4 linked regions of the Lonchura striata genome follow. The protein of the gene in region 4 purifies or fractionates together with the protein of the main gene of each other region. This does not show direct contact. Links are inferred from orthologs where the notes say so. Each region holds a gene or a part of one and is shown on either strand. Other genes may lie near its edges. The genes, in order: RFWD3, RFC1, SMARCAL1 and RPA3.

Evidence for each region.
Region 1: the proteins of RPA3 (region 4) and RFWD3 purify together in Homo sapiens (affinity purification with mass spectrometry; 5 studies listed by BioGRID and IntAct, with this or other methods). This does not show direct contact. The link is inferred for Lonchura striata from reciprocal best matches to the Homo sapiens genes RPA3 and RFWD3.
Region 2: the proteins of RPA3 (region 4) and RFC1 purify together in Homo sapiens (affinity purification with mass spectrometry; 3 studies listed by BioGRID and IntAct, with this or other methods). This does not show direct contact. The link is inferred for Lonchura striata from reciprocal best matches to the Homo sapiens genes RPA3 and RFC1.
Region 3: the proteins of RPA3 (region 4) and SMARCAL1 purify together in Homo sapiens (affinity purification with mass spectrometry; 3 studies listed by BioGRID and IntAct, with this or other methods). This does not show direct contact. The link is inferred for Lonchura striata from reciprocal best matches to the Homo sapiens genes RPA3 and SMARCAL1.

Annotation. Positions count from the first base shown.
Region 1 is NC_134615.1:15,889,173-15,896,124, reverse strand, and holds the start of RFWD3 (E3 ubiquitin-protein ligase RFWD3), read right to left. Parts: upstream 3,020-6,952; 5' UTR 2,978-3,019; intron 844-2,977; 5' UTR 842-843; coding exon 462-841; intron 1-461. Other genes in the region: MLKL (mixed lineage kinase domain-like protein), read right to left, coding at 4,127-4,179, 5,260-5,400, 5,861-5,910, 6,108-6,256, 6,656-6,740. UniProt on the Homo sapiens protein: E3 ubiquitin-protein ligase required for the repair of DNA interstrand cross-links (ICL) in response to DNA damage. Plays a key role in RPA-mediated DNA damage signaling and repair.
Region 2 is NC_134606.1:22,850,576-22,857,400, forward strand, and holds the start of RFC1 (replication factor C subunit 1), read right to left. Parts: upstream 3,006-6,825; coding exon 2,844-3,005; intron 2,529-2,843; exon of another isoform or gene 2,429-2,528; coding exon of another isoform or gene 2,396-2,428; intron 1-2,395. UniProt on the Homo sapiens protein: Subunit of the replication factor C (RFC) complex which acts during elongation of primed DNA templates by DNA polymerases delta and epsilon, and is necessary for ATP-dependent loading of proliferating cell nuclear antigen (PCNA) onto primed DNA.
Region 3 is NC_134610.1:14,692,060-14,699,827, reverse strand, and holds the start of SMARCAL1 (SWI/SNF-related matrix-associated actin-dependent regulator of chromatin subfamily A-like protein 1), read right to left. Parts: upstream 3,021-7,768; 5' UTR 2,918-3,020; intron 2,579-2,917; exon of another isoform or gene 2,509-2,578; intron 2,083-2,508; 5' UTR 1,993-2,082; coding exon 1,131-1,992; intron 455-1,130; coding exon 404-454; intron 1-403. UniProt on the Homo sapiens protein: ATP-dependent annealing helicase that binds selectively to fork DNA relative to ssDNA or dsDNA and catalyzes the rewinding of the stably unwound DNA. Rewinds single-stranded DNA bubbles that are stably bound by replication protein A (RPA).
Region 4 is NC_134603.1:131,398,572-131,405,935, forward strand, and holds the start of RPA3 (replication protein A 14 kDa subunit), read left to right. Parts: upstream 1-4,360; 5' UTR 4,361-4,432; coding exon 4,433-4,531; intron 4,532-5,383; coding exon 5,384-5,458; intron 5,459-7,352; coding exon 7,353-7,364. UniProt on the Homo sapiens protein: As part of the heterotrimeric replication protein A complex (RPA/RP-A), binds and stabilizes single-stranded DNA intermediates that form during DNA replication or upon DNA stress.

The sequences.
Region 1 (6,952 bases), on a different chromosome or scaffold from region 4:
GTTTGTGATAGTTTCTGCAGCAACTGTCACCAGCAAATGTAATCAGGCAGACCCCAAACCAAAGGTGAAATGAAAACCAGAGCACAAGCTCCACTGAGCTAAAAGTTGGCTGGAACTGTTGAGAATCAGCAGGAATCATAGACAGGAATCTGGCTGTGCGGAGGGAACAGCAGTAGCAGAAGCTCTGCAAGCAAAATTCAAAATGTAGAAGGGCTCAGAAGTCAACATCACCCCTGCCAACATATGGAACAAGGGGTTCACTTAACAAGGGCAAAGAACATGCCAGAAGAGACCAGAAGTCGCTGTGCTATTACTGAACTTAAAAGCTAAGTGAGGTACTCTGGATTTGGCCCTAGCCACACACCTGAGCTGGGCTCTGAAAGCCAGGAAGCAAGGACATTTTGAACTGATGCTGGACTTGATCAGGGGGCAGTTCAGACCCAATTTTGTTTCTGCTTTACCTGGCACTGATTGTCCTCTGGGAACCACCAATTCTCTGCTGCCTGCGAGCTCTCCTCACTGGCGGGTGCTGTGTGAGCTGTGGCACGGGCAGTGGTTGGTACTGATCCAACGTCCCTTGTAGCCTCTGCTGCCCACTGGGGGCCGTGGCAGGACCCGTCTGCAGGTCAGGCTCTGCAGGTGCTTCCCCTGCACCTGCACTGGCTGTGACAACAGCATCCTCAGCAGGAAGGGCTGCAGCGCTGCCTCCTCCTTCCCCGAGCACAGGAACGTGGGACGAGAGCGCTGTGTGAGCAGAGGGCTCCGGGGGGAGTGTCTGGAGGGTCTCCACTGAGTAACCAGCCACTGGTTGGAGATCAACTTCCATCTCTTCTTGAGCCATTTCTGCAAGGAGTTGAAGAAAACAACTATTTACTTTTAAGTGTACTCTACTTGTAGCCTGATGGTAGCAAGAACCAGGTACAGCACTCAGTGACTAAAAACGTTTGTAGAATTCAGTCAAGAGAAAATTTGTCCTTTGCAGCAGAGCTAAACCACAAGTCAATAGACACATGTGAGTTGGGAGCACCCTCCCAGAGTCCTGGGCTCCAAGTCTTTGGCTTGACAGCAGTCAGCACATTGCAAAATCAACTTAAATAAGCACTTGGATGAGAATGTAGAGTTAATGTTTTCTTGCTGCCATCATTTACTTGCCAAGTAAATTCATGTGGATCTTGAGGAACAGTTGGAAATATCTAAGAGACTCTCCTGGCTGAGCAGCACTGCACAAGCACCCACAGATTCAGCCAGGAACAAGCTCTGTGACACAGTCCTTTGCTGCACTGGTCTCGACCGACATTCAAGTTTTTTCAAACAAAATTGCCTTACTGTAACAGATCACTGTGACCCTTACCCACAGTGCACTGAACAGCCCTGCAGGTATTTACTAACACCAGAAAAAACCAGAAAGGGCATGACAGCAGAACATGCGACTGAGACATTACTGGTACCAAGTTATCTGCAGCATCAGCATTTGTGGATCCATAGTTAGCCCAAGACTGGATAAACATGAAATTTTCAGTAAAACTGCATATATATTAAGGATGGCTGCCCTTCTACATCTTTGGCATATGGATATCAGGTTACCTCCAAAACAGGAGTACTACCTTAGGGTTTGAAGAAAAATAGAGACAACAGTTTGTGCATTATTAATTCTCATGCTGCTGTCAGCCACCAAATTAAGAGCACTTTGGTCACACTGTTCTTACAGCACAAAAAAGTTCAAGATTGTCTCAGTAACTGAATGAACAGATTCACCAAAAACTCAAAAGTCCTTTATTGGAAGAGGTGTGTGGATTAAATTCTGAGAGCAGCTGGAAATCATTCACATTCTCCAAAAAGTACTTAGCAATAATAAACTTGAAAAGCCTTGGGAATTGCAGATCTTTAGCACTATTTAGAAGTCCAAAGTATAAACACCAGTTCTACCAAGCTGGTAAAACTTAACACAGCTAAGGTTGCATAAAGAGAGCAAATGCTAGTTGTGTATAAAAAGTAGCTAGAAAATGTATACAAAAATTAATAAAAGAGGTTGTACTAAGGTTCAAGTATTTTTACAGATATTTTAAAAAATTCTAACTTATCAATTTCATAATTCTTATCCTGATCACCAATTCAGCCTAAGCCAGACCAAAAATAGACATTACCATTTCCCACCAGAACAGCTGCATGGCCAGATGAAGTACTCCAGCTCTAGTACTACGTTCATGTTCATGATAGAATTGCTACCCAAAACTGTAATAAACCCTTTATTTTCACCGCATAGAATCATGTTAAGGGTTAAAGATACAGTCCCAAACGCCCCTGCCAAGGGCAGGGACACCTCCCAGCAGGCCTTATCCAGCCTGGCCTGGAGCACTTCCAGGGTTGGGACATCCACAACCTCACCGGGCAACACGTTCCATTACCTACATTAACTGTGAGATTTATAAAAGCGTTCATAATACCATTTTCACGATTAAATCTTGGAATCTGGCCCGAGGAATTATCAAGTCAGGCCTCCCTTCAGCCAGCCCGGGAAGAGCCCGCAGATGGAGGGTTTGCACAAACCTTCCCGGGCCCAAGAGAGGAACTCCGGGCGCTCCCAGAGGGCCGGGCCGGCCGGCAGCCCCCGGGCTGGGGCAGCAGCTTCCCCTTGCGAGGGCACCCGCAGGGCTCTGCCGCACCTGCCTCACCATGAAATCACCAAGACAAAACTGCCCCGGCGCGGCCCAAGCGAAACACGCGCTCCGCAAGCGCGGATGCTCTGCCGCCTTTGTCACAGAGCTCGCGTGTTTTAAAGGCGAACCCGCCATAACAAGGGCACGGGACAGGGATTTCGCCCATCCGGCAGCCGCAGGCAGTGCGAGCGCCCGGAGGAAACCCGCTGTGCTGGAGAGCTCGGCCGGGCCCCGGGGATGGAGCAGCGCCGGGACCGAACCCGGGACCCTGCCCAAGCCCGAGCCCGAGCCCCCGCCCGGCCCCGCCGCCGCGCGCTCACCTCCACCGGGCCCAACCGCCCGCTCGAGCGCCGCGCCGCCCCGCCCCCGCAGCCCTATTGGCTGGCTGCTACACCCCGCGCCGCCTGCCATTGGGCGAGGCAGAGCGTTTACGCCTTCTCATTGGCTAATCGCTCTGTCCGTCGGTTAACGCAACTGAGAGTAACGGGACGAGAGGCAGGGAGGTAGAGCGTGCTCTGATTGGTCAAAGCGCCGCAGTGAAGACCGGCTGATTGGGCAACGAGGCCTCTGACGGATAAGGGGCGGGGCAAGAGCAGGGGAGCGGGTTGTCATTGGCCGAGCGCCGCGTGGCGAAAAGAGCGGGAAGACAAGTGCGTTCAAACCGGGGGAAGTGGGCGGGGCGCTGCCATGGCGGCGGCGGGGCCCGCAGGGAGGCCGGGAGCAGCTGGGGAGGACAGGGGAAAACCAGGGAGATCCGCGAGGTGAGCCGAGCGGAACCGGGAAGGCTCTGGGGGGAACCGGGGGGACCCCACGGGGAGCCGGAGGTGGCCCCAGGGCAGCCGGGGCAGGGCCGGGGCGGAGGAGAATCCCGGGATGGCTCCGGTTGGAAGGCACCACGGTCAGTCATGTGCTCCCACCTCCCTCTCAAGCAGGATTGTCCTAGAGCACGTTTCACAGGATTGCATCCACATATCTCTGGAATATCACCAGTGGATATCGTGTGAGGGAAACTTCACACCTTCTCTGGGCAATGTTCCAGCGTATGATCACCCACACAGAAAAAAGTTCTTTGTCATATTCAACTAGAACTTCCTATGTGTCATTTTCTGCCCTTGGCTCTTGTCCTATTGCTGGGTGCCACCCAGCAGAGCCTGGTCCATCCTCTGAAGTCTCTCTTCAAACAGAGGCGCTGATGGATCCCCTCTCAGTCAGTCTCTTCTCGAGGCTGAACAGGCTCAACTCCCTCAGTTTTTCCTCTAAAAGAAGCCATGTTCCATCCCTCTGGTCCCCCTAGGCTTCTTGGCAGCCTCTCTTCAGGTCACCTCTCTCCCCAGGCAGGGCCCCTTGGCGAGAAGGTGTCACACAGAGAAACAAGCACGGGAGCATTGAACCATCAGTCTCTGTGAGGGAAGAGGCGAGGGGCACCCCGGGGCTTGCTGCCTCTGGCCACCCAGCCCCGCTTTCCACAGTTAACTTCCTTGGTTTCTGCTTTTCTCCAGGTCAGCCAGCGAGTCCACAATCTCTGCAAAACACAAGGATGGCATTAACGAACACAGAGGATTTCTGGTAGGCTTGTTTGGATTTTTTTTTAACAGATGAGAAGATGGCTTTCCCTCACTGATGACAACTGGGACACAGAGTCACACTCCTTGGGCCAGCACAAACAGGCAGGAATTAGCAGGGGACAGGCCTGAGCAGACAGCACAGCCCAAACAGAAGTAGCTGTGTTTATGGAAACACCCTTGTGAACAGCTGCAATAAACCATCCTTCCAGCTCAGCACCACACAGTGGTAGGTGTTGGATTATGATCACATTAGGGTAATAAAGCCATTCTGTTTCCTCAATGTGACTTTGTCAACATCTCTAATGATATTTTGGCGGGTTTTTTTCAGCCAGGGCTAGTCCCTGTGCCAGGGCCATACTGGTGGGAAATGTGACATTCAGTGGTTTCTTGGGCACATTTCCCACATCTCTTGTATGGATCTGGTCCTGTAGGATGGAGTGGATGAAATTGAAGGAAGTTTTCTCCCCTTAGACAGATGAGCCAAGGGAAGTATGTGACCTCTGTTACTTCAAACACACCAGAAATATTCCTCTATAATTTCCCGATGTTGCTGTTGTATCTCCTGATGGAGACCAGTTACTCATCTGATCAGACACAAACCAGCTTCAGAGGCAGTGAAAACTTCCCTGTCATAGAGCAATGCCCAAGACTGGGATTTACTGCTTAAAGCTCAAGGCAGGAGATGTTCCTGCAGAGTGTTGTGGCTGCTCCTCCAACTTATGGGATCTGCAGGACCTGAATAGGGATAACTCACAGATCCCTACTTCCTACCCCTACTTGTCTGATAGAAAAAGCTACTTTTATATGACACCAAATGCACAAACAGCCTGGGGATTATTGTCATGGCATGGGTAAATAAATGTTAATGTGTGAGGTCCAGAACTGGGGGACTTGTTAGCATACAAAGAAAGGTCAAGGCAGGATCCCAAAACACAAAGCCAGGCAAATTCATAGGGGAAATAAGGGACAAACTGCCTGCTGAAGTAGCTGATGGAAGGATGCAAAGGGCCTGTGGAGGAGGTGTCTGGGACACTTACCCTCGGCAGAAGGGCGTTGGGAAGGCTCAAAGGCCTGGCACTGTTCAATGATTTTCCTCAGGTCTTCAGGACAATCTTCCCCAAGAGGGTCCCAGTAATGGTGACTGCAGATTTTCTCCACGATCTCCTCAGGAGTGCAGCCTAGAGAACAAGTGCAAACAGGAGTGTCAGGACGGAGCTCTGCTACCACAGGAGGGTGCTGGGGAGGAACCCAGTGCAAAGCCATGCCAAGAGCCTGCCTGCAGCCTTTGGCAGGGAGAAGCCAGCAGGGAAGTGACCCAAACTCTGTCTGCAATGAACCCCACTGTATTTGGCATGACACTGCTGGGCTTCAGTAGAGCAAGATGTGTTCACGCTTAAATGCCCAGAAACATCCAATAGAAACAAAAATTATTTGCATGTTTGTGGTTTAAGCAGGTTGCTTTACTACAAGCAATACTTCACTATATTGTAGTTTCAGGAGAAGTTATGAAGCTGTCAGGCACTGCCACTGGCACCTGCATGGGATGCTCAAGGAAGGAGCAGGGAGCATCCAGTGCCAGACAGGAACCACACTGTGTCATGTGGCTTTTATGTAGGGAACCAGATACTTCTGTCTCACCTTCAAATGGGATTTTGGAGGTTGCAATCTCTGCCAGAACGATCCCAAAGCTGGAAGGAGACAAGCAAGATTGTTAGTATTAATTCCACCGTGTATTCCTCCCTTTTACTGGAGAGAACTGTTAGGCTGTGCCAACTGGAAGCGTCTGCTTGTGTGTCAAATTAAACCTGGCCTCCTTCCATAGCTCAGTAGCTACTCTGCCAGACACCTGCCTGCTCACAGGCATCTCCTGGGAGGGCAGACACACCTGTATATTTCACAGGGCCTCTTGTAAGGGTAGTTGATGTCTTTCAGGTTCTCTGGAGCAATGTAGGCCAACATAGAGACTTGTTTACAGTCCTTCTTGGCTTTCCTCTTGATGGATGATTCTGTTTCACACAGCTCAAATCCTGACAGCTGATTGAGAGAATGAGAGAGAGAAAAGGAGGAGTGGAAACCTGTGGTGCAGCTAGGGACTGCCCCAAGATGGAGAAAACAGAGCGAGATGCCCTGAGCAGTAAAGGCTGGTGTGCAGCTGTGTGTGCTGCCCAGCACGAATCTCTTCCTGCAAGCAAAACCAGAGGTGAAGGCAGGTGAATCACCCCAGCTTCAGCTCATTCCAGGCTGGATGCCTTAGGAACCCTCACTTGGTTGACGATAAGACCAAGATAGGGAGGTTTAAGTGCCTAAAGTCATAGGAGAGATGCCACTACCCAATTTTATCTGGACCATCACAGTTCCCTTCAGTGTTGGTGCAGGGAGACATCCACAAAACCATTCAAAACTCCCAAAAGCATCTCCAAGTGTGGTGCTTACCTTCACACAGTAATCCCCAGCCACCAGGAACTTGCTGCTGCAGATGCAGCCGTGGAGTCGGGATTTCTCCCCTGTCTGGTGCAACCTGCAGATGGATGGAACCAAGGGCAACACGTGATGATGATGGTGATGATGATGATGATGATGATGGACTGACCCATGCCCACCTCTGTGCTCCCTCCTGCCATGGAGGCAGTGACTGACATGCAACCAGAGAAGCCAGCAGCTCTCTGTCTGTCTTGGTGGATCAACCCTGCCAAGCCAACCTTTCCAGCAGGTGCTGGAAGAGCTGCTGTG
Region 2 (6,825 bases), on a different chromosome or scaffold from region 4:
TATCCTGCTCCTCAGAGGAAAAGTTTACCTTGATGACATAACACAGTGAACAGAGAATTGCTTGGGAGAAAAACATGTCTCAGGGCCAACAACAAAGTTACCTTTCAGTGAAGGTTTTATCCGGGAATCATTAAACAGATTTTTCATGCTTTTTATAAAGGCATGCCAGACAAATTATTAATTCATTGCATAACTAATTGCAGAAATCAAGCCACATAAGTATCTATCATAGCAACTTAGATTCCAGACAGGACCACTTTTCACCATCCTGGGCTTATCTATTTAACATACTCTGACTGACCTTCCTATTGGTATGCCATCCATACATATATAGTACCAGCAGCTGGAAAATCTGCATGTTTAGCTTTTACCTATCCTTGTTCCAATGAGGAAAGGCTGCAGCTGTCAAGTTTCCTTCCAGGACATACCCCCAAAACTCACAGCAATGTGCCCTGTGTATCCTGGAGATATTAACCAGCATGGCTGTTCCCTTGCCCAAAAGGCTAAAATTAAAATAGGCAATTTTTGGTGTTTTGGCTCCCCAGGGCTGCTTCAGCACAGCACCAGCAAGGAATAACTTTGAGCAGCTCCATCTGGTAGGAGCTGTAACTAAGAATTCTGATCACTCTCAGTCAGGTGATTGATGCCTAGCATCTGAAAAGCCTAAAAAGCTGCTCAGCTATCTCAGAGTTGTATGGCTCTGCCATCTAGTCCTTGCCTGCTCTGACTACTGCTTAAATCTTCCATCTCACACTGTAACAGAAGACCACAGTAATTAATCATGCCAGGCTGCAAGTTCTCTCTTGGAAGATTTGTATGTCTTTATTTTTTTACCGGGGAGAGTAACACAAACAGAAACTGAAACCAATTTGTTAGGTAGTACAAAGACTGGGAAACTCCAGGAGTGTTTTTACAAGACTAGTGTTTAGTAAGGCAGAATATTTTCCAAAGTTACATCACATAATCCAGTCTGCACCTCAAAATACAAGATAGAAAACTGAACTTCACCAACCTAACTCAATGACTGTAGTAGAAAGTAATGCATCGTACTTCAGGTATTCTGTGTGTCTCAATGAGGGCCTTGCACCACAACAGTCATATTTCTTTCTACTCTGCCTATTTCAGTGCAAGTTTTGCTCCCATATCAGCTCTGACATTCAGCACCTCCAGAACAATTGCACTAACTAAAATCAGATTTATACTATCACTTCAGTGAAACCAGTAATACCTGCTTGGGTAACTACACCTAATGAACAGTTACTGACAGTGGTAACTGCAGCAGTTTTACAAACAGTATCACAGTTGTAAGTGATGCTCCTCCTCCAGCCATGAGTGTCACTCTCTGAAGGGGAAACTCAAGAAACCCCCACTCTTGGGCATTCACTCCCTCGGGTGTACCACTTTAGCTCGCTGTTTGGGAACTGGGACATGGCCACTAATCTGGGTGAAAAAATAAATCCCTTCTAATGCAAATCAGTTTGTTGTGTAACTCTTCACACATCAGCTCAGCACAATGAGAATATGCTGCAGAATCAAGCTAACAGGGCTACTTACACTTGGCACTACAGGAGAAAAGTTTGCAAGGGTGTGACATTGACTGCAATAAGCTCATGGCTGTCACTGCACAAGCAGAACAGTCTGCACCATTAGTAACTCACTGTGTTTCTGCCTCTATTGCCGCCACAGCTGCAGCAGAGATGGTTGAGTAACCACTTCAGCACTGAAAAGGGAATGGGATGAGGCAACTTTTACCCTCCCCAAAATGATGGCTGTTTTCGTCCCTTCTAAGACAGGCCCAGACACTGAGATGTGTGACGTTCAGAAGATCACACAGAGGAAGAATTTGTCCTGGGAAGGTGGGAAAGGAGGAAGCAAGCCTTCCAAGAAGGTCACTTTTCTATAAAGGTGTTAGCAGAGGCATGGGAGAGGCAGATCTCTTACATAAATTTGAAGTCATCAGCCAGCTCAAAACAAATGAAAATATCACAGTTCAATAGTGTCAGGAGTCTTAGTGCTGGCAGACTTCTGTCAGTACACTAGAAGACTCAGACTGTATCACCCACCATTGCAGAGCACCAGGCATAAACTATAAACAAGCTTAAACTCTTTGGATAGTCCAAAACTAGAGTTGCGCCTTAACTGGCAAAATGACACCTGTAGTTAGGCCAGTAAAAGATGTGCACAGAATAAAAGCAAACTCATTTGGCCAGAAATGAAAAGGGGATACCATCCTATGGTCACTGCATACATGAGCGGAACTTTGGAAAGCATAGGAACACGTTTATGTTTATGCTTAAAATCTCTTTACATCCTATTGAGGGTTGCGTCGTTATCGATAAACTTTTAAGCTCTTTTTTTCCTCCCATCGAATTGTTTTTCGGCAAATACTGCGCACCCTCCAGCTCGTCATCAGAAACGCCTCGTGCATGTTCCCGCTGGGTTAAAGGAAGAAGTACCGCTCCGGCACAGCGCCTTCACCTCACCGCAGGTTCGCTCATCCGCATTCCTTCCCGGGACGAGCCGCGGCCCGCGCCCTACACCCCACCCGCTTTCGGGGAAAGCGAAACCGGGAGGGCTCAGCCACATCCCCCTCCGGGCACGGGCATTTCCCCGGCCGCGGGCCCGTGCTCCTGGCACGCGTGGGAAGCCCCGGCCGCAGCGGGCGGGGCGCGGCGGCCGCTCCGCCGCAGCCGCTCGGGCTGCGCGGGGGCTGCGCGCCCGGGGCCGCCCGCGGGGCTCGCTCAGCCCGCGCCGGGCCCCGACGGCGCCGCAGCCGCGCCCGGCCGGCGGGACCTGCGCGCCGCCCCCGCCCCGCACAGCCCCGGCCCGGCGGAGCCCCTCACCATGGCGGCGGCGGCGGCGCGCTCCCCGTGCCTAGCGGGACGCCGCCGGCTCCATGCTCCCGCCTTCGCGCCAACTCCCGCCGCCCGGCGCGCCGCGCTGCCGTCACGGCCGCGCCGGGCGGGGCTGCGGGCCGGCCGGGGCGTGCCCCGGGCCGGGCTCATGGCAGCGGCGCCCGCCCGGGAGCCGGCCCGCTCGGGTGCGGCCGCTCCGTGAGGGGTTTAACCGCTGCCGCGGGGCTCCGGCCCGTGCCGGCGGGAACGGCAGCGCTGCAGCAGCAGAGCGGGAGAGCCGCGAGCGCTCGGGCGCGTCCGGCAGAGCGGGCGAGCCGACAGCCGAGCTGCTGGGTGAAAGCAGACGGGGAAGCAGTGCCAGGCCGCCATGGCTCCCGTCTGTGTTGGGCACTGAGGCACACGCAGCTCCCAAAGCAGGCGGGCAGCCAGCCCCGGGTCCGCGCGGCTGGAAGGCATTTCCTGCTCGTAAACTGGTGATAAACGTGTGATAGTTCCCAGCTTCCTGCCCATCCGAGCGTCTGGTTCCTCTAATGGTACTTTCTCCCATGCGCCAAGGCTGGGGAGAGCTCAGGAGTCCGACAGAAACCAGGGAATTAATTAGCGTTGTGATTCTGCTACTGACTGCTTAATTTTCTAAGTTATTTCTAATGAAATAGTGTGTATTTTCTTCCACTAAGCACACTGAACGCTGGAAGGGGATAAATTTTTTCAAGCCAAATAAAAACTACTCCACTCTAAAATATTGTATATTGTTTAGATTCTGTCAACCTACTGAATCGCTAATTATTGTTGGACTTGGAGAAGAATGGGAAGACAAACTGAATTTGTGACGTTACAAATACTGCCGGTGATTTGGGAGACCCTTCATCGAAGAAAAAAATAAATCAACCAGAGTACAAGCTCAATGGGTAGTTGTATTTGTATGTATATAATTGCAGTATAAGTACTGCAATCCCTAATGCTGTCGCTTGTGTTCTCTCTGTGTTCACTGCCTGCTTGGTGGCATGGTCTCATTCCACACACTGTTAATGATACCTATTACCGTTCCTGTTAAATTCTTGAAATTGGACTTTAAGTAACTGTAAGGTCCTGTTTATACAGAAACTGCTACCTTTATTTTATGAACACACATGGCTAGGTGGGCCCGTGTATTTTCAGCAATAGTATATCTTGTGAATTTGGGTTTCTGCATAAGGAACACAGTGAGCAAGTAAACAGACCCACAGCACAGGCTGTGCTTTTTGGCCTGTTTTGCAAGTTACTCCATATGCACTCAACATAATGGCTACGCAAACAAAATCGATATTGCTTTAGAAAAACATCTCCAGTGATAAATTTGTATTTACATATTTAATTCTTGTTATGTAACTTTGAAAGCTGTGCTGTTCCTCATACTAGAAGTAAAGATCAGTTTAAATGGCTGATATTTGTAAGAGCCAAACAGTTCAAATACTGCTAGAGGAGATATTGCGGGTGGTTATCTCTCTTTGTAGTTGATAAAGCTACCTAGAGTAACAGCCAGCAGAGGAGTATCTGTTTGTGGGTTCATGATGTCTTCATGTTTCTCGGAAGGCAAGAGTTCAACCCTGTGTGGAGACATCAGACTGAACAGCTGGAATGCCTACAATTCACTCCTGGCTATGGTGGGGAGACACAGGATACCTCAGTTCCTATGTACATGCCTGTGGAACCAGTGGAAGTGGGAAAAACTTTGCTCCACCACAGGAAAGAAAACTGAATACTCATTATTATGTATTATGATGTGCTTTGCAAGGTAAAATCAAGGCAAAATCCCATGAGTCTATAATTGATCATGGGTAGTGTTTTTTAAAAGGCCTATTACCCAACTAAAATTACAACTTTTTAAAAAGTAGCTAAAGTACAATTGATTTCTCCACTCCATTGGCAAGTGTGACAAATAATTTTTGCATTATTAGTATTGTTTTCTACCTTGCTGAAACCCACAGACTATTTGTTTGTTTTATATTGTTGGTTTTTTCCAAAATACGTTTTAAAAAGTGAGATATTAAATCTTGAACTTGAGATTTTTCCCCTATATAAGCCCAGACCTACTGTTAATATTATTAGTGAAATCGTTGTCTTGCTTATTGAGAGAGGAGGTTTTTAATAAGAAAATTACATTTTCTTGTACTGAGAAATAAAAAATTGTCTGTTTTCTTTTTGTTAATATCTTGTTTATTCTATTTCCACATTTTTGTATATTGATACATTAATACTTTTTTGAATTGAAACCAATTTTTAAAGTGAAATTTCATGTTAAATTCTGGGTTTTTGTAGTAATAATGGACGTTAAAATACTAATTTACTAGATTGTCATTTCTATTCTGGAGGAATCCCATAAGGAATATTTTCTTACTAGACTCTCTAGTAAAGAAAATAATTTTTTTCAGGCATTGTAGAAGCAGAAATTAGCATTTTGTTACAGATGGAAAATTCCAAAAATTCTTCATAAAGCTGTGATGTAGTTTCTATTTACATTGGGCTTTCGATAGTATTCATCACAATTATGTGTCTTTAGAAAGACTTGATCCCATCTCAAACAGTTTTAGCTGTGTAAGGTAAAGATAAGGGATTTGCATGACGCTGTTGTGGGCGATTACATAAGTTGTGCTTCTTTGAGCACCTAAAACTAGTAGGTCTGAGCAGCTGATGTTAATGTAAACATTACACTTCTTCTGAGTGAACTTTGTCTTTAGGTCTTTTTCTTCATTTACATATCAGCGTCAACTGATACTCAGTCTAACATTCAAAACTCTGTCCTTTCAACTAAGGTGTTCATCATTTCTGTAGATCAAACCCCAAGTTTTCAAGGCAAGCCCCAAAACATGGAGACTACATATTCAAGAGCCAAGTGAAAAATTGTTTTCTTAATTTGAATCATATGCCTTGGCAAAGGCAAAGAAGAAAAGGAAATCTGATAAGTAAGAATTGAACTGAATAATCATTAGGCTTCCTAACTCCTGAATCTGTATCAGCAAGTGCCCTGCAGATTGCAGCTTCTCCCAATCTTGATTCATTCTGAAACCAAGTTGATTAGGTGTGTGGACAGAGGCAGGAAATCCCACTGTGCAGCATCATATTGTATGTCCTCATACAGCACCAGGGTTGGAGCCTGGCCTGACTCTGCCACTTGAGCCAGTGGAATCATTAATTCTCTTCTCCTCCTTTCACACCCTCACTTCCTAACACCCCCTGATCACATCTCACTCTTCCATGCTGATTGCTTTCCAAATTAAGAACAGTCAAATTAACATTTGCTTTAATAGTCAAATTAAATTTGCTTTTCCAGATTAACAGTATTTCTTTTCCCCAAGTCTTTGCTCAGGTAATGAACTCCTTCCAAATTCAAGTCATTATACGATTTTCGTCACTTAAGCTGCTTCCTCTTTAAAACTTCATGAAGTTATATTACAGCCCAAACAGTTAAATATGACCAAGCAGTAAGAAACTGGATTCACAGAGGCTTGAGGCATTAAAACACTTTCAAACCATGATTACAGCATGCTCCCAATCATGTCAGTAATAAGGAAAGAAATACAGTTCATAACCTTATACAGACCAAGCACCTGAGAGCACCAGTCTCTGCTGCACCTTACACATCTCAGGCAGGTGCAACACGCTCTGCATCCTTGTGCCAGTGGTACTAACGCTGCTGCGTTTAGTGGGGAGAAGCCTGTTGTCTTTCCCTTGCCCACAGATTGCCCATGGGGTTACAGAGCTGTTGTGGGTACTTGGAGCTCAAGCATCTGGTAACGATGGCAATGACTAGCTGCTTTAGAAGTGTAAGACATCGGTAACGACTTGTATTTGGGTTTTCTTTTGTGAAGTAGGATACATAAAATCAGAGCTTTTAAATGTCAAAATAGAAAGATTATGTTAATGCAATAACTATCAAACAGCATTTTAAATGCTGTTCCGTAGAAAAAGAAAGAAACATGTCAGTATGTAC
Region 3 (7,768 bases), on a different chromosome or scaffold from region 4:
TGTTTATAGAAGAGCTATTTAAAAAGAAAATACATGAATGGACCCAGAAATTAAGCATTAGCCACTGGAACACACTGAGTTTTCAAAACAAATTCAAAACAAGCACCAGCACAGCAGATAATTTTCCTATGATCTTGTTGGTTGCTGAAAAATTCAATGGTAGGGAAAGTGCCACCTGTGCTTGGTATTTAGATTACAGGAAAAATTAAATTATTTCTAATCAACTACAAAGTATCAGAAAAATGTTATGAGCTAGATGCCTAAAAGATGGGCATTATCTTTAAGTAGCACTACTTTTATTACTCAAGACACTGACAAAGCTCAACAACAACTAAGGAAAGCAGGGGAAGGAGGGGGGGGTATCAAGATTCCGCTTGTTTTTTATCATTCAACATTTACTTACAGACACTGCTGTAATCTTCCATGCTGAAATTCCATTTTTTCATAGCAGGATCTAAAGTAGGGCAAGAGTAATAGGGCAGAATATCAATCATTTGGGGCAGAAAAAAAGTGGTGACGTGAAATGTTCATGCGAGGTAAAAGTATCCAATCTACTCAGGCAAACTTTTTGCCACGCATCTGAAAAACAATTATACCCAAGTTTACAGCTACATGACACCAGAAAAATCCATGAGGATTATGACTACTAAGACAAGCCATTCACAGGGATCAGCAACACATGATGGAAAATAAAAATAGAATATAACAAATAAAGATAATGGCAAAAGATCAGAAGAAAGACAAAAGGGAGAGATTCCACTGCTCTCTGTAACCCAGGAAACAATCAGCTCATAACTCCGAACTATAGCTAAAGTGACCCATTTTCACATCCCAGTTTATGAATAACTTTGTTTCCTTCACTTCCAACAAACTGACCAGCTGCTGCCACTAAACTTCTCAGAGCATTGCTTATAAAGCAAGGCTTCAGACTTATTTTCTAAATCCAAGCTCAAGCTATTTATGTCCAGAATGTCTCTCCAATTTAATCTGTATTTACTTCTTTAATCCCCCATTAATGCCATATATTCCACCCCAGCAATAGGTGCACTGGTAAGATACTACAATAGCAGCAGATGCCAAAACTTCAACCCAATTTAAAACAGAGATAACAGAAAATAAACAATTCTTACCATAGGCTTTGCTTGGTACCTTCTTAAACACAGCAATAAGTTCAGCATTGTAGCCTATTTCAACCTGGAATCGGTCTTCCCCGTATTTCACACATTTTCCTTTTGTAACATTTGCTTTCTTGTGACTTTCAAAGGTAGAGGCCACACCAGCAGAGCTGGTCAGCTTCTGCATGCCACCACTGGCCTGAGAGACAAAACCTCCCCCTGTTCTTTCTGTCGGTCTGTTTATGTTTATCAGCATTTCTGAATTGCTCAGGGTGGCACTGCTTGGTGGTGAAACATATTTAATGGCAGATTTGTTCTGAGTTTGTAAATCTTTACTGCCATCAGGGTGCCCATTATCAGTGACTCCTGGATGAGGTGGTCCTGTGGGGCTTTTGAAAGCTGGGCAGCATTTGGGCTGCTGGAATGTTCCATGATTAATTGAAGTGTGTTGTCCATGTTCCTGACTACCAGCATCCAAGTAATGTTTATGGGAATAACTCAGAGAATTTGGGATCATAGCAGGGAACTGCTTTAGGCCACTTGTTTGTTCCGAGTCCTCTGAACAACTCTTTTGCTGCTCTCTGTGTGAGCCAGCCATCTGTTGGTTTGCTGGATAATGGTTGTAGCCTTTCTGGAGACAGCTCCTCTGCTCCACAGGCGTGTTTGGATTCTGTCGGTGCTGGCCGGTGAACCCGACATGATTGTTTTCTTCCTTCGAGCTTCCCAGATTGCCCAGACTCTGCCCTTTCTGCGGAGGCGCAGCGATGCCCACGTGCCCAGCTCCCTGGGCTGCCAGCCTCTCTGCTCTCCTAGCCAAAGCCAGCCGGCGGTTCTCCTCAATCCTTCTCTTCTGCTCCTCTGTAAGGCCCGATGACATCTTCAACAATTCCAACAACAAATCTGTACCAAAACTACATTGGGAATTAATCACAGAGGCAACTGCTTCTTTAGAGGAAGAGAGGCCAGTCTACAGGAAAAAAAAAAAAAGAACAAATTATTATTGTATTGATAACTTAGTATTGTTAGTGGCTGAGTATTACTGTAACTAATCCTACATGAATCTCGTAGCACAGCAAAGCTGTCACATCAGTGCTGAGCCATTATCAGCAAGTACATGGTGTCAGACACTGATGAGGCCTTGCATGCCAATCCTCCATGGATAAAACATACAGAAATAGAGAAAACTATTCCACTACTGTTCTGAGTACTCTTCTCTGCAATTCCCAGCAGAACTAATAAAATAGCAAAGCACGAGGACACCCTGCACTGCAGAGCCAGCCCTGAAAACGCACCTGGAGGCAAAGGATTACATCCCTGCACAGCCTATGGTGGAAGTGTCCTATTGCGGGCACCTTTTATGAAAGACGGGACCATGCCCATTTTCCCTGTTCACCTTCGGTTCCTGGGTATCTCTGAGAGCGTGGCAGACACATGCTGAACCCCACAGGGCAGAGCCAGCTCCTCCCGGGACACATCTGTTCGCAAGTGCAGTAGAAGCGGGGCGCTGGCTCCCGTGACTTCTCCCGGCAGCCCGCCCCGCTCCATGCGCTCGCTGCCCCCCGTCCTGCGGGATGCCCGCCCGCCCTCTCCGTTCCTCAGCTTCCTGCGGCCGGTGGCGTTCAAACTCTGCCCCCTCCTCTCCCAGAAACCAGGCTCCCATCCCAAACTCCACGGAGGTCCCGACCCACCCCGACCCTCGGGCCCCCGCACCGCCACCCGCCCGTCCGCCCCGGGGTCCCGGAGGTCAGGCTTTGTTCCCCGCCCGCCCCGGAGGCTCCGCCGCCCGCTCACCGCCCGCTCACCGCCGGCGGGCACAGCCCGGAGCACCGTCGAGGGACTACAGCTCCCAGCAGGCCCTGCGCCCCCGCCCGGCGGCACGGCACGGCACGGAGCGGCCGGGAGTGCACAGCACGCCGGGAGATAAGAGCGGCGCGCGGGAGGCGCGGGGCGCTGGGAAATGTAGTCTTCCGCTGGCAGCGCCATCTCGGGCCGCTGGTGTTGCGGCGTTCCGCGGAGGGAGCCGGGACCCCGGGGCCGCCCTCGCCACCCCCCGTACGGCGTGTGGGGACTCTGCTGCCGGCCCCTGGCTGAAGCCTTGCCCCAGGCAGCACCCAGCGCTGTACGGCCGGGCGGACCCCCTCGCTGGCTGCCCCGGTGTGTGGGGCTGGCAGTCCGGTGTGTGCTGTTTTGAATGGTGACTGAGCGGGGAGCCGGCAGTGGAGCTGGTGTGCGAGAACGGGTGGCGGCACTTGTCAGCAGTGAGGATGGAGTGTGCCCCCGGGGTTAGGAGCAGCAGCTGGCATTGCAAGGCTGCTTTGTCATTTTTGAATATCGATGGTGATGGCAGGTTGGAAAAGACCTCTGAGATCATCGAGTCCCACCTACACCCAAACACCACCATGTCAACCACACCGTGGCACTGAGTGCCACCTCCAGGCTTTTCTTAAACACCTCCAGGGACGGTGACTCCACCACCGCCCTGGGCAGCCTGTTCCAATGTCTGATCACCCTTTCTGTGAAGAAATTCTTCCTAATATCCAACCTATCCTGGTGCAGCTTGGGGCTGTGTCATCCTGTCCTTGGCTGCCTGCACCAGCTGCAATCTCCTTTCAGGTGGTTTCAGAGACTGATAAGGTCTCCCCTGAGCCTCCTTTTCTCCAGGCTAAACCCCCCCAGCTCCCTCACCTGCTCCTCACAGTACTTGTGCTCCAGAGCCCTCACAGCTCTTGTCTGGACTCACTCCAGCACCTCAGTGTCCTTCCTGAGTTCAGTGGCTCAGAAATGGTCACAGCACTCAAGATGTGTCACCAGTGCTGAGTACAGGGGGACAATCACTGCCCTGGTCCCGCTGGCCACACTATTCCTGAAACAGGCCAGGTGCCATTGACCTCCTTGGCCATTCGGGCACACACTGGCTCATGTTCAGCTGCTGTCAACCAGCACCCCCGGGTCCTTTTCCACTGGGCAGCTTTTCAGCCACTCTGCCCCCATCCTGTAGCACTGCCTGGGGTTATTGTGGGTGAAGTGCCAGGCCTGACACTTGGTCATGTTGAATGTCATACCCCAGTCTCAGCCCATTTATCCAACATGCCCAGCTTTCTCTGCAGAGTGACAGTCCAACCAAACTTGGTGTAGTCCACAAATTTGCTAATGGTGAACTTGATCCTCTCATCCAGATTGCCAGTTAACAGGACCAGGCCCAACACTGATCCCTGGAGACACTACTAGTGACCAGGCAGATGAGGGGATGTGCCTGGAGGCTGGAAGAGGAGAGATGTCAGGGCTTTCTCCAAGCAGAACACCAGAAACAACAGGTCCATTAGAATTACTCCAGGCCCTTGGAAAGTCTTCCAAGAAACAATCACAAAGCAAATGAAGTAGGTGATTGGGAAAGCCAGCACAGATTTATTAGAGGGAAATCACAGAAGATTAATCTGATAACTTTCTACAGCTAAATGACATTTTCTGTCTACATGGGAAGAGTAGTGGAGGTTGTTAACCTGGACTTCAGCACAATATTTGACCATATTTCCCATGGCCTCCTCCTGGATGAGTTGACCAGATAGGCTGAAGCGGGGGGATCTGTGAAATGGGTAGGGAATTGGCTTCCAGGCCACAGCAGAAGGCAGCAATCAATGGTTTTTATGCAGACTGGCACTAGCAGCCTGTCACAAGTGCAGTCCCTCAGGGAGTAACACTGTGTCCTATGCCGCTCAAGAAATTACACTGGAAGAGGTGTCATCTTGAAATGAGAAAGGAATTTTTTTGCATTGAGAACAATCAATAATTGAAACAACTTCCCCAGGGACATAGTGGGACCCCCATCGTGGAAGGTTTTTAAGATCCAATTGGACAGAATGATAGAAAACCTCATCTTGGCTCCCTTTCCCACAAAGGGTTAGATCAGATGGTCTTTTGAGGTGCTTTCCAGCTTGGGCTGGTTTATGATTTTGTGCACATCTTCAAAATAGGGTGATTACTCATAGTTGCATCAGTTAAAATAAAAGGGCCTCCCAGGGTTTTAATTGTACATAGGGCTTGATCATACATGTCAAGATGCCTTTCCTGAACTGTCATGTTCCTCATGTGGGTGACCAGAGCAGTAGCTGGGGAGAAAGCAGAGAAAAGGCCCTGGGGAACACCATAATCCCCTCCCATCTCAGAACTTCACTACCCTGCCCAGTGGCAGCCCCAGAGCTGCCATCCTTGTCCCCAGACACCATTTTCTCTCACCTGACAGGCCCTTTGGCTCGGGACACTAAAGCCAGCTGGCTGTTTTACAGTTTATTCATTCTTCTCTTCTAGTTAATTAGAAAAGGTTATCATTAAATTGCTTCCTGATTAAGCAGCAGCGACTGCCATTAGTCAGGAGCTTGTCAGCCTGAGAAAAACAAGGCAGGCAGGAAGAGTGAGGTGCAACTCAGCACACACCACAACCCTGAGAGTGCTGTTCCTCACCTGGGAATCACATGCAGGCATGAGCACACCACATGCATGCAGGCACTTCCAAACACACCACTTTTAAAGAAAGCTAAAGGCTAAGGAGACATCTGGGTCCAGGGTTTTGTCCCAGCTTCTCTCAAGCAAAAAAATCAAACCTTTTTGCACGTTTCAGGTCCTCTTGCTGCAGAGCATGTTTGCATAGCCCCATGGGCCCTGTCCAGATCTTCTGCCATTGCCCTTTCTTCCCCTGCAAGCCAGCAGACGCCAGGTGGCTACACAGCAGAGAGAGAAAGGAGTGGATGAGAGACCTTTTTTCTCTCTTTCTTGGCACACTTTTAACTGCCCAGAGCTAAACCAGATCCCAGTGTCACATATGGATGAGAGAGGGAACATGCCGAGCATAACCCCGCAACTGTTTCCAGGCACCTTCTCCCTGCCAGCAGCTACCCAGTTCCAGGTCTCTAGAGATGGCTCCTTATGCTTTGAGAGATCTTGTACCAGCAACTTGGGAAGAGTGAGAAAAGCCCCATCCAAGGACTGTCCCCAGCTCATGCAAATATTGAGAGCAGAGCATGGTTTGCAGAGAGCTCTGGGCTTGCACGGTCAGGCAGACACAGACAGACGTTGAAGCATTTGCTCCATATGGCACAAGTTCAGCGAGACACAAGGAACAGCCCGGCCATGCAGAGAACAGACCTACAAAATGAGAGGCCACTTGCAAGCAGTTTGCTGGTGCACTCCAGGTGTCCTTTCAGTCAGAACATGCTTCCAGCAGTGGCTTGGACTCACCCTCCACATACTGGGTCAGGAGCAGAGATGCAGAGTGAAAATCCTGGGAGGGATAGTGCACCCCAGCTCTGCTGCAGAGAAAATGGTTCACATCCTTCCAAAGAAATGCTCCCACCAGTGAAAAAAGTTAATGAGATTCTCACTGTTGTTCTTAGGAGGAACTTTGTCTCATTTGGATCATGCTCTAAACCTCCTTTCAGGGGCTGGGCTGGCTGACTGCTGGCTTCAAATGAGACAGAACTGCCTGTATTGTGCATCTTATATGAGCAGCAGCTAATATCTGAACTATGAGTCTCCCCAGACTCTGGAGCCATTCTGGAATCTCATGGATTATCCTTTGAGTGGTCTTAGGCTGCTCTTTAGAGGTCTTACTACTGTCATATTGAAAATATTTGCCCCGTTTTACCACTTTGCCAATACACCTTGGTAGTTCTCCACATGAACAGAGCTCACTTCCTCTTCGATGTGTGGCCAGCCTGCATGCTCTGCTGGGGCTGAATTGCATGCAGGGCTGCTGTGTGTAGCAATGTTATCCAACAGAGAACTGGAAATCAGCCCAGGATAAGGATCCTGAGATGCCCAGGCTTCTGGGAGGGTTTTGGTAGTCCTTACTGAGCTCAGAGACACCAGTCTTTGACTAGCTGCAGAGAACTTGTAGTTGCACCTTCTAAAATAAATTAATCCCATGTTATCAGTTCATACATAGCTAAGACCAGTCAAGTGGTTGGACTGGGGACGTACAGGTCACCTTTTAAGAGAAGGTTGTGGTGCAGGAAAGTCAGAGAAAGGCCTCTGGAGTGTCAGAGCTTGTTCCAGATGGAGAAACCTTTATTTTGGGGTGCTAGGGTCTGACCTGAATGCTCTTTACAAGACCTGTCCTCTGTAGGCTGAAGGGTTATGTTTCCTCTGCCCTGCTTTGGGATTCTCAAGGAGGTAAAAGCCGACAAATAGGGAATTTAAGCCCTGGGCTTGGAAGGCCAGGGTGTGCTTGGGTTTGGAGAAGTGCTGACCCTGAATCTCTTACAATTCCCTGGATTTCTTTTCTTAGACAGCTGTAAATCCCCTCAACTTTCCCTCTTCCATTGAGAACCATGGCCTCCTGGCCCATTTGTCAGCCTTAGGCCCTTTCCCTGAGCATCTTTGTAGGACCAAAGACAAAATTTGGACAAAATTTGCTGAATTCTGCTATCCTTGAAACTCTGATGAAAGTGCACCTGCAGAGGCTTTTCAGTGAGTTTTTCTAGCATGAGAAAGTTGCTCCACTACTCTGACTGCCAGCTCAGTGAAGACCACTTCTTTTTCCATGCTTTTTGGCCAGCCAGTGCAAGAAAAATTAGTCACTCTCCATTCTTTTGAAGCAGCCTCTTTTATCTACACAGCTTGTTCTTCCCTGGCATGCTGAAGCCTTCCTGCTCTTGTTT
Region 4 (7,364 bases):
GCTCAGGCCTCCAGTCCTTACGCTGTTAAAATCACCAGCCCAGCACTAAGAAAACAGTACCTGCTATATTTTGTAACTGTGAATGTGGGGAGGTGGTATAAAATCCACATATTAAGAAGACTAACATATTTAGTGTTTCCTTCTCTAGGAGCCTGTTAGAAACAAAAGTTGTGCTTGTAGATCTCGGGTCTTTGAAAGGTATGTGGAATGAAGAGTTCACATACTACTACTTTCAGCATTTCGGTAGCTTTGTTGAACACACCATAAAGTATAAACTAAAAAGCAAAGAATGACTGAAAAAACAGAGTGAGGGGACAGAAACAAAAAATAGAGCTACATACAGTCCAGCATGGGTAAGGGAAAGACTGTAAACAGGCAATGCATTTGTGATGCTCTTTTAAGAATCTTATCAACTGTGCTACTTCAAAAGTAAACATAAATCTCCCCAGCAACGGGAAATGCAACTACTAAATTTCTTGAATCACATGTTAAAAACAGAACAAAGCCCCTACCCAACAAAGAAACACAGAGCTGAAAGGAAACACTCGTGCTCTTGAAGATAAGGACACATTTTAAGCACTTGCAGAATCAGGCTGCAGTTTTACTACTTGTAGATAAGATGATGTTTCAGGTAATGAAATCTCAGAACAACCAGCTTCATACAAGTGTCATTTCAGAGTAAAAATTAAAATTTAAGTTTGGAGATCTGGGTGCATGGTCACACAGACTTGAGAAAAAAAAGCACTTAGTTGTGAGTTTTTTAAAAAAAAGCTGTCAGCACATAATCACAGAAAATACACCCGCCGTTCAGAGATAGTACCACATTCCTACAGTCATTTTTCCTATATAGCACAGCACTTTTCCCTTCCAGATGGGATTAATTTTATTTCTATAGGAGACCTGAAATTGAATTCACTGCCTAAAGATAAAAATCTCCCTTGGTAGGAATATGCAATTCCCTTCCTCCTCATGTTTCTCTCTCACAAAAAAAAGTGAACACAATCGCTGATAGTTAAGAATAATGCTTTTGGCAGAGCTTCAGTCATTAGCAAATAATAAGCTCTGAACAACAGCAATTCTGTGAGGCTGCAAAAAATATTTTGTCTTTCTGTGAGGCTCTGAGAACATACGTGGCACTGGACAAAGATGAGTTACAGAGCTGCACAAAGGGGTTAATTTATTCCTCCTGCATTTTGTCAGTCTCCTTTAACAAGAACTATAGGTGACCTTTGAGCCAAACTAATATGTTAAATCCAATAAAATTTTTCTATACAACAAAGATCTTAGTATATTTACGATTACTTTTCAGCCTTTTCTGAATGTTTACAATACCAGAGGAGAATCATAATTTAATGTTAAAAACACCAAAGATGCAGACTAAGATGAAGAGACAATACCCAGTAATACAGCAAAGCAGAATTGCAGTGGCACTGCCAGTAATTACATAAATGATGAAATGAGGACAGAAGAAAACACAAAACTGACCTTAAAGAAAGAACCGGAATAATTTCACATCTAGCAGCTTAAGAGAGACAATCTATGGAAAAAGAAAACAGAGCATCAGAGCAATTCTCACTTCCATACTACCATCTGCTGTGATTCACCAATAAAGCAGCAATCAGAAAAAGAGCAAGATGTTTACAGCCCTGTACAATCCTTCTTATCATGAAAACAACCAATTTAAGAGTCAAGAATATGTGCATTGAAAATATTTCTCCATGACACCAAAAGAACAGCTTAAAAGCTTTTGACCCAGTGTAAGTTACTAAATGAAGAAGGAAGAAAAGCCATATGATTTCTTTTCTCTGGCATTAACATTAGTCACGGTTATTTAGTTTGTATTCTTGAAAACAGAAGAACAGAAAGTATCACAAGAAACACAAATTTAAAAAAAAGAGATATATGTATAATGAAACATTAACAAAGATTTTTTTCTGTATTACATAAACTGTTAGTATTTCTTTTTAATGTTTTTATAAAATTTAGGGAAAGCAGAAATACAAGAACTATATAACCCAAATTACCATAATATAAAAAACACTTGAAGAGGCTGAAGCATAAAAAAATCAGCCACAACCAAGTGAGACAATAAAACCAAAGGTGAGAAAAACAAAGCCAGGAATGAAATAAGAGCACTTAAACTGATGTAAACATTCAAAACCCTGAAGACAGGAAATGCAAAAAGAGAAAGCTAGGGACAGGCTGAAGCCTACTGTTTCCCCTTCAAATAATTTTCTTCTGATTGCAAAGTTTCAACAGCTACTGTGGTAAAGACACACATTTGTAAGAACTTGTACAATATGTTTTTATAGACGTTGACCCTTCAAACTCCTCAGCCCTAGAAGGGCCACTGTGCAGCAGCCTGCTGCACCTCACTCCAACAGCTACAGTAATGAGACCTCTCCTTTCAAATCTCTGAAGATACGTTATGGAGATGAGGATATTCTCTTGCAAATGAAATACTGAACAGGTGAATGTCACGGTGACTCTGAGGGGATGGCAAGCAGCTCAATCTCATATAAGATTTAAGTCCAGAGCACTCCCTGGTCACATGCTGGCTCTGCACAGCTTCTGGCAGTAGCTTGTTTCCTTGGCAAGCTGACACAAGCTACTGCCATATAACACTACCCCAGCCAACTAACAGAAATCACTTGGTGCTGGTTAGCAAGCTGGACTGGCCCGAGGCTGGTTAGAAGAGACAGTCGGCACACAGGCGGTTTTGTGATTGCCCTTTGAAGCCAGATCAGAGTTAGATTTTCTCAGGTATTTCCTGAAACACCAGTCCTGGAAAAGAAAAGGAAATCACAGCCACAGAATGGCTGCAATTGAAAGGGACCTTCAGAGGCCACCTTGTCCAACCCCCTACTTAAGGAGAACCATCTTAGACCTGGCTGTTCAGGACTATATCCAGGTGGCTTTTGACTACCTCCAAGGATGGAAACCCCACAACCTCTCTGGGAAACCTGTACCAGTGCTTGGTCATTCTCGTGGTGACAAGTGTTCCCTGATGTTCCCTGAGAAACCTCCTGTGTTTCAGTACTGGGCATGACTGAATAGAGCCTGACTGTCCTCCTTGCACCCTTCCTTCAGGTATTTATATTCATTAATAAGAGCCCTCTGAGCCTTCTCCTCTCTAGGCTAAACAGTTGCTTCTCTCTCAGTCTTTCCTCATATATAAGATAGTCCAGTCCCTTAATCATTGTTGTGACCCTTCTTTGGCCTCTCACCAGTATGTCCACTCCTGCCGTCACACCCAGCACTCCAGGTGCCCCACCAGTGCATAGCAGAGGAAATCAGCAGCTCACTCCACCTGCTGGCAACACCATTTCAAATGCAGATTGGGAGTCACCTTTGCCACAAGAGCAATCGGGAGGAACCTCTCCACACCAGGGATCAATTGGGAAAACACATGGAAAAAGAGAAGATGCATGCCAGTGCCACGTCCAGATGCTATATCTGCCTTACATCCGTCAGTTTTTCTCAACTTCGGGGATTGATCACCAGCTCAATTTCAGTGATGCAATAAAATGAAATTAATAGAATAGCTCACTTGGAAAGAATCTACAATGATCATCTGGTCCAACGCCTGGCCACTTCAGGGAGGATGAGAAGCTAAAGCAAGTTATTAAGGGCATTGTCCAAATGCCTCTTAAACGCTGACAAGCTTGGGACGTGGACTACCTTTCTAGAAAGCCTGCTCCAGCCTACCCTCTAAGAAATGCTTCCTAATGTTTAACATAAACCTCTTCTGGTGCAGCTTTGAATCACTGCCATGTACCCTGGGATATCCACTGGATACCAGGCAGAAGAGATCAGCATCCTGTCTCTGCTTCCCCTCCTCAGGAGACCGCAGAGTGATGAGGACAACCCTCAGCCTCCTTTTCTCCAAACCGAGCAAACCCGAAGTCCTTAGCCCTTTCTCACGGACATTGCCTTCACCAGCTTTGATTCCCTTCTCTGGACGTAGCTGCAGAGCCCAAAACCACACAATATTCCAGGTGAGTCCACACCATTGCTGACTACAGCGGGATAATCACCTCTATTTGCACTGCGCTTGATGCACCCCAGGACGACTCTTGCCCTCCTGGCTGCCAGGGCGCGCTGCCAAAATACACCGGAGCGGAACCAGGATCTGAGGGAGGGAAAACGCCGGGAAGGGGAAATACGGGGCGATTTCAAAGGATTAAATGACAGGACAGGGCTGGAAGCTGACGGCCAGCTCCCCCGGCCTCCCCGGGGCTCGGCCCCGCCGCCCTCCCCGCCGCAGCAGCACCGCCAGCCGCCGCTCCATCACCCACCCTCCGCCGCCGCTCTCACCGGCCTCCGCCTCCGCTTCCGGGTCGCCTCGGGCGCAGGGGAAGTCCCGCCCCGGCCGCCGCGCCCGCGGGGCCGCCGTCCCTCCCTCGGCGGAAGGCGGGAAGCGGCTCCAGCCATGGGTGACGTCCACGAGGCGCCGCGGCCGCGCATCGCCACGGGGCAGCTGGCGCAGCACATCGGGCAGCCCGTCTGCTTCGTGGGCCGCGTCGAGAAGGTCCGCGGGGCGCTGGGCGGCTCTGCGGGCGGGACGCGGCTGCCGCGGAGCGCTGTGCTCGGAGCCCTGCGCTCGGAGCCCTGCGCTCGGAGCCGTGCGTGCGGAGCCCTGCGCTCGGAGCCCTGCGCTCGGAGCCGTGCGTGCGGAGCCCTGCGCTCGGAGCCGTGGGCTCGGAGCCGTGCGCTCGGAGCCCTGCGCTCGGAGCCGTGCGTGCGGAGCCCTGCGCTCGGAGCCCTGCGCTCGGAGCCGTGGGCTCGGAGCCGTGCGTGCGGAGCCCTGCGCTCGGAGCCGTGCGTGCGGAGCCCTGCGCTCGGAGCCCTGAGCTCGGAGCCCTGCGCTCGGAGCCCTGAGCTCGGAGCCCTGAGCTCGGAGCCCTGAGCTCGGAGCCCTGAGCTCGGAGCCCTGCGCTCGGAGCCGTGCGTGCGGAGCCCTGCGCTCGGAGCCCTGAGCTCGGAGCCCTGCGCTCGGAGCCGTGCGCTCGGAGCCCTGCGCTCGGAGCCCTGCGCTCGGAGCCGTGCGTGCGGAGCCCTGAGCTCGGAGCCGTGCGTGCGGAGCCCTGAGCTCGGAGCCGTGCGTGCGGAGCCCTGCGCTCGGAGCCCTGCGCTCGGAGCCCCGCGCTCGGAGCCCTGCGCTCGGAGCCCTGCGCTCGGAGCCCTGCGTGCGGAGCCCTGCGCTCGGAGCCCTGCGCTCGGAGCCTGGCGCCGTCCCTGCGGCAGCTCCGGGCGGCCTGGGAGCAGGGCGGGAGGCGCGCGGGGCTTGCGGGAAGAACTGGCTGAGGCGGCCAAAGCTGTGCCGCTTCCGGGAGCCTTTGGAGCGCACAGGCCTTTTCTAGACTTAGATGTTCTTTTGTAGATTCATCCTAGCGGGAAGCTTGTCGTGCTTGCGGATGGGCTCGGAAAGCATACGACTGTGGAGCTGAGCGAGCCTGTAAGTTAAGGAATGCTTTGGAAATACTTGATGCCGCCTCTTGTGGAATCCGGAGGTTTTGTCTCCTCTGAAACCTGCATATGAGGTTTTGAGTTATTCCACCTGTATTTTATTGTCTCTCTTTTTTGCATCTTATAGCTAACTTGTAGTCTTCTTACCCATGAACTGTCTTGGTCTTGATCAATTTTTAGCTGGTGTTAAGTGACAACTTATCAGACACATCCCTATCTATTTTGTCTTACTCTACTAGTTGTTCACTAATATATTCCACTAAGTTTATTAGCTTTCTTTCAATTTCAGTCTTTCTATTTTCTTATTGCTTCTATAATAAAAAAGAACATAGTGTTTTCAAGAGTTTTTTGAGTTAACATTGTTGCATCCACTTAGAACACTTGTCATAGCATTTCAGTACACTCTATAGTTAGCTTGAAGCATTCTTTCTTAAAAAAAATCCCAAGCAATGAATGCAACAGGTATAAGATATAATTAGAACTACTGAACAAAAATACTGCCTCTTTTGTTATCACCTACCACTGAAGTAAGAATATTTCGGCAATCTCTTCTAAGTATGTTTTGTCCACCAAGAAATGTTGTAATTAAAGAATTATTTTAATTGTGATGGCAAATGCTCTAGCTTGACTCAATGCATGTGTATACTTACATCTTTTTCTCTGAATGAGTTGTTAAATGCTGAGAAACATTGCCATTTCCATGGGCAATAATTGTATATGGTACTCTCTCAGTGTTTTAAGACAAGAGTCTGTCCTTGTTGATGAAAACTGCAGTTTAATCTGGCAGAGTTTTGTCTTATAAATGTGAAGATTGCTGACATCAAACTGCAACAAAATGTCTCTTACCTTTTTCTTGAGTTCGTGAAAACATTTCCTGCCTTGGGTTGTTAAAAATTCAGATGTTAGCATCTGACCAAGGATTCTATAATATTTTCTCTAACAGTGTAAGTGGTTGAATTCCATAAATGCAAAGCTGTAGTGCTGGGCACTTCAGTCTGTGTTCCACTGCCTTGGGAGAAACTGGTGTGTGCAAAAAACCGAGGCCAGGTTCATCTCTCCAGTTCACCCAATGTCGGTGGGGAATAGATTTGCTAATCAAACTTTTTTCCCTTTCAATGTATTTCATTCTTTGTGCGTGTCTAGTTCCCTCTTTCAACAGAGGACCCCAAAATTATAGGAAGGGAATTTTTCCAGAAGACTTACTAGAAAGTAAAAAATAAGCCTTAGATATTGGAAGAGCATTACCAAAACAGTACTCCATTGTTAAAATTTTATCTTAAAAACAAAGAAGACATTCAAGCTGTATTAATTTGGCATAAGATATAATTTTTAGCCTTTTTTTCCTTTGTTCAACCAAAGACTTGTTAGTGACAGTATCTTTGTATTCTGAACACATACTTAAGAAATTATTTCCAGATATACCTTCTGCATGTGGAACACTGGAACTGCTCTCTGGAATGTGTGATACCTCCTTAACTCTTCCAGGGTTTATAATTGACAGGTCTGAATGAAGTGCATTAAAATCAGAATTGTTCTCTCTCTGTGTCCTAGATTAGTCTCTGTTCAGTGATTATATGACACAGTTTTATATACTTATGAACCAGTATCATTCCTTGGATCTTGGATGCATCTTTGCTTTTTTTTTTTTTTTTGTTGTTGTTGGTATTGAATTGGCTATTACAAAATCTGTAAATCCCTAAGTGGATCAAGGTTTTTGTGGGTTTTTTGGGGGGAGGGTGACTGGGCTGTCCAGTAGTACTGTATTGTTTGATGTGGAACAGAATCTGTCATGAAGAAACCATCAGTTGTGGAGAGTTCCTCGCTGTGCAGTAAAGACAGCAGCTATTTAGTGTTACTAATTTCATCTTTGGTGTGTTTTCTAGCTGGATGAGGAG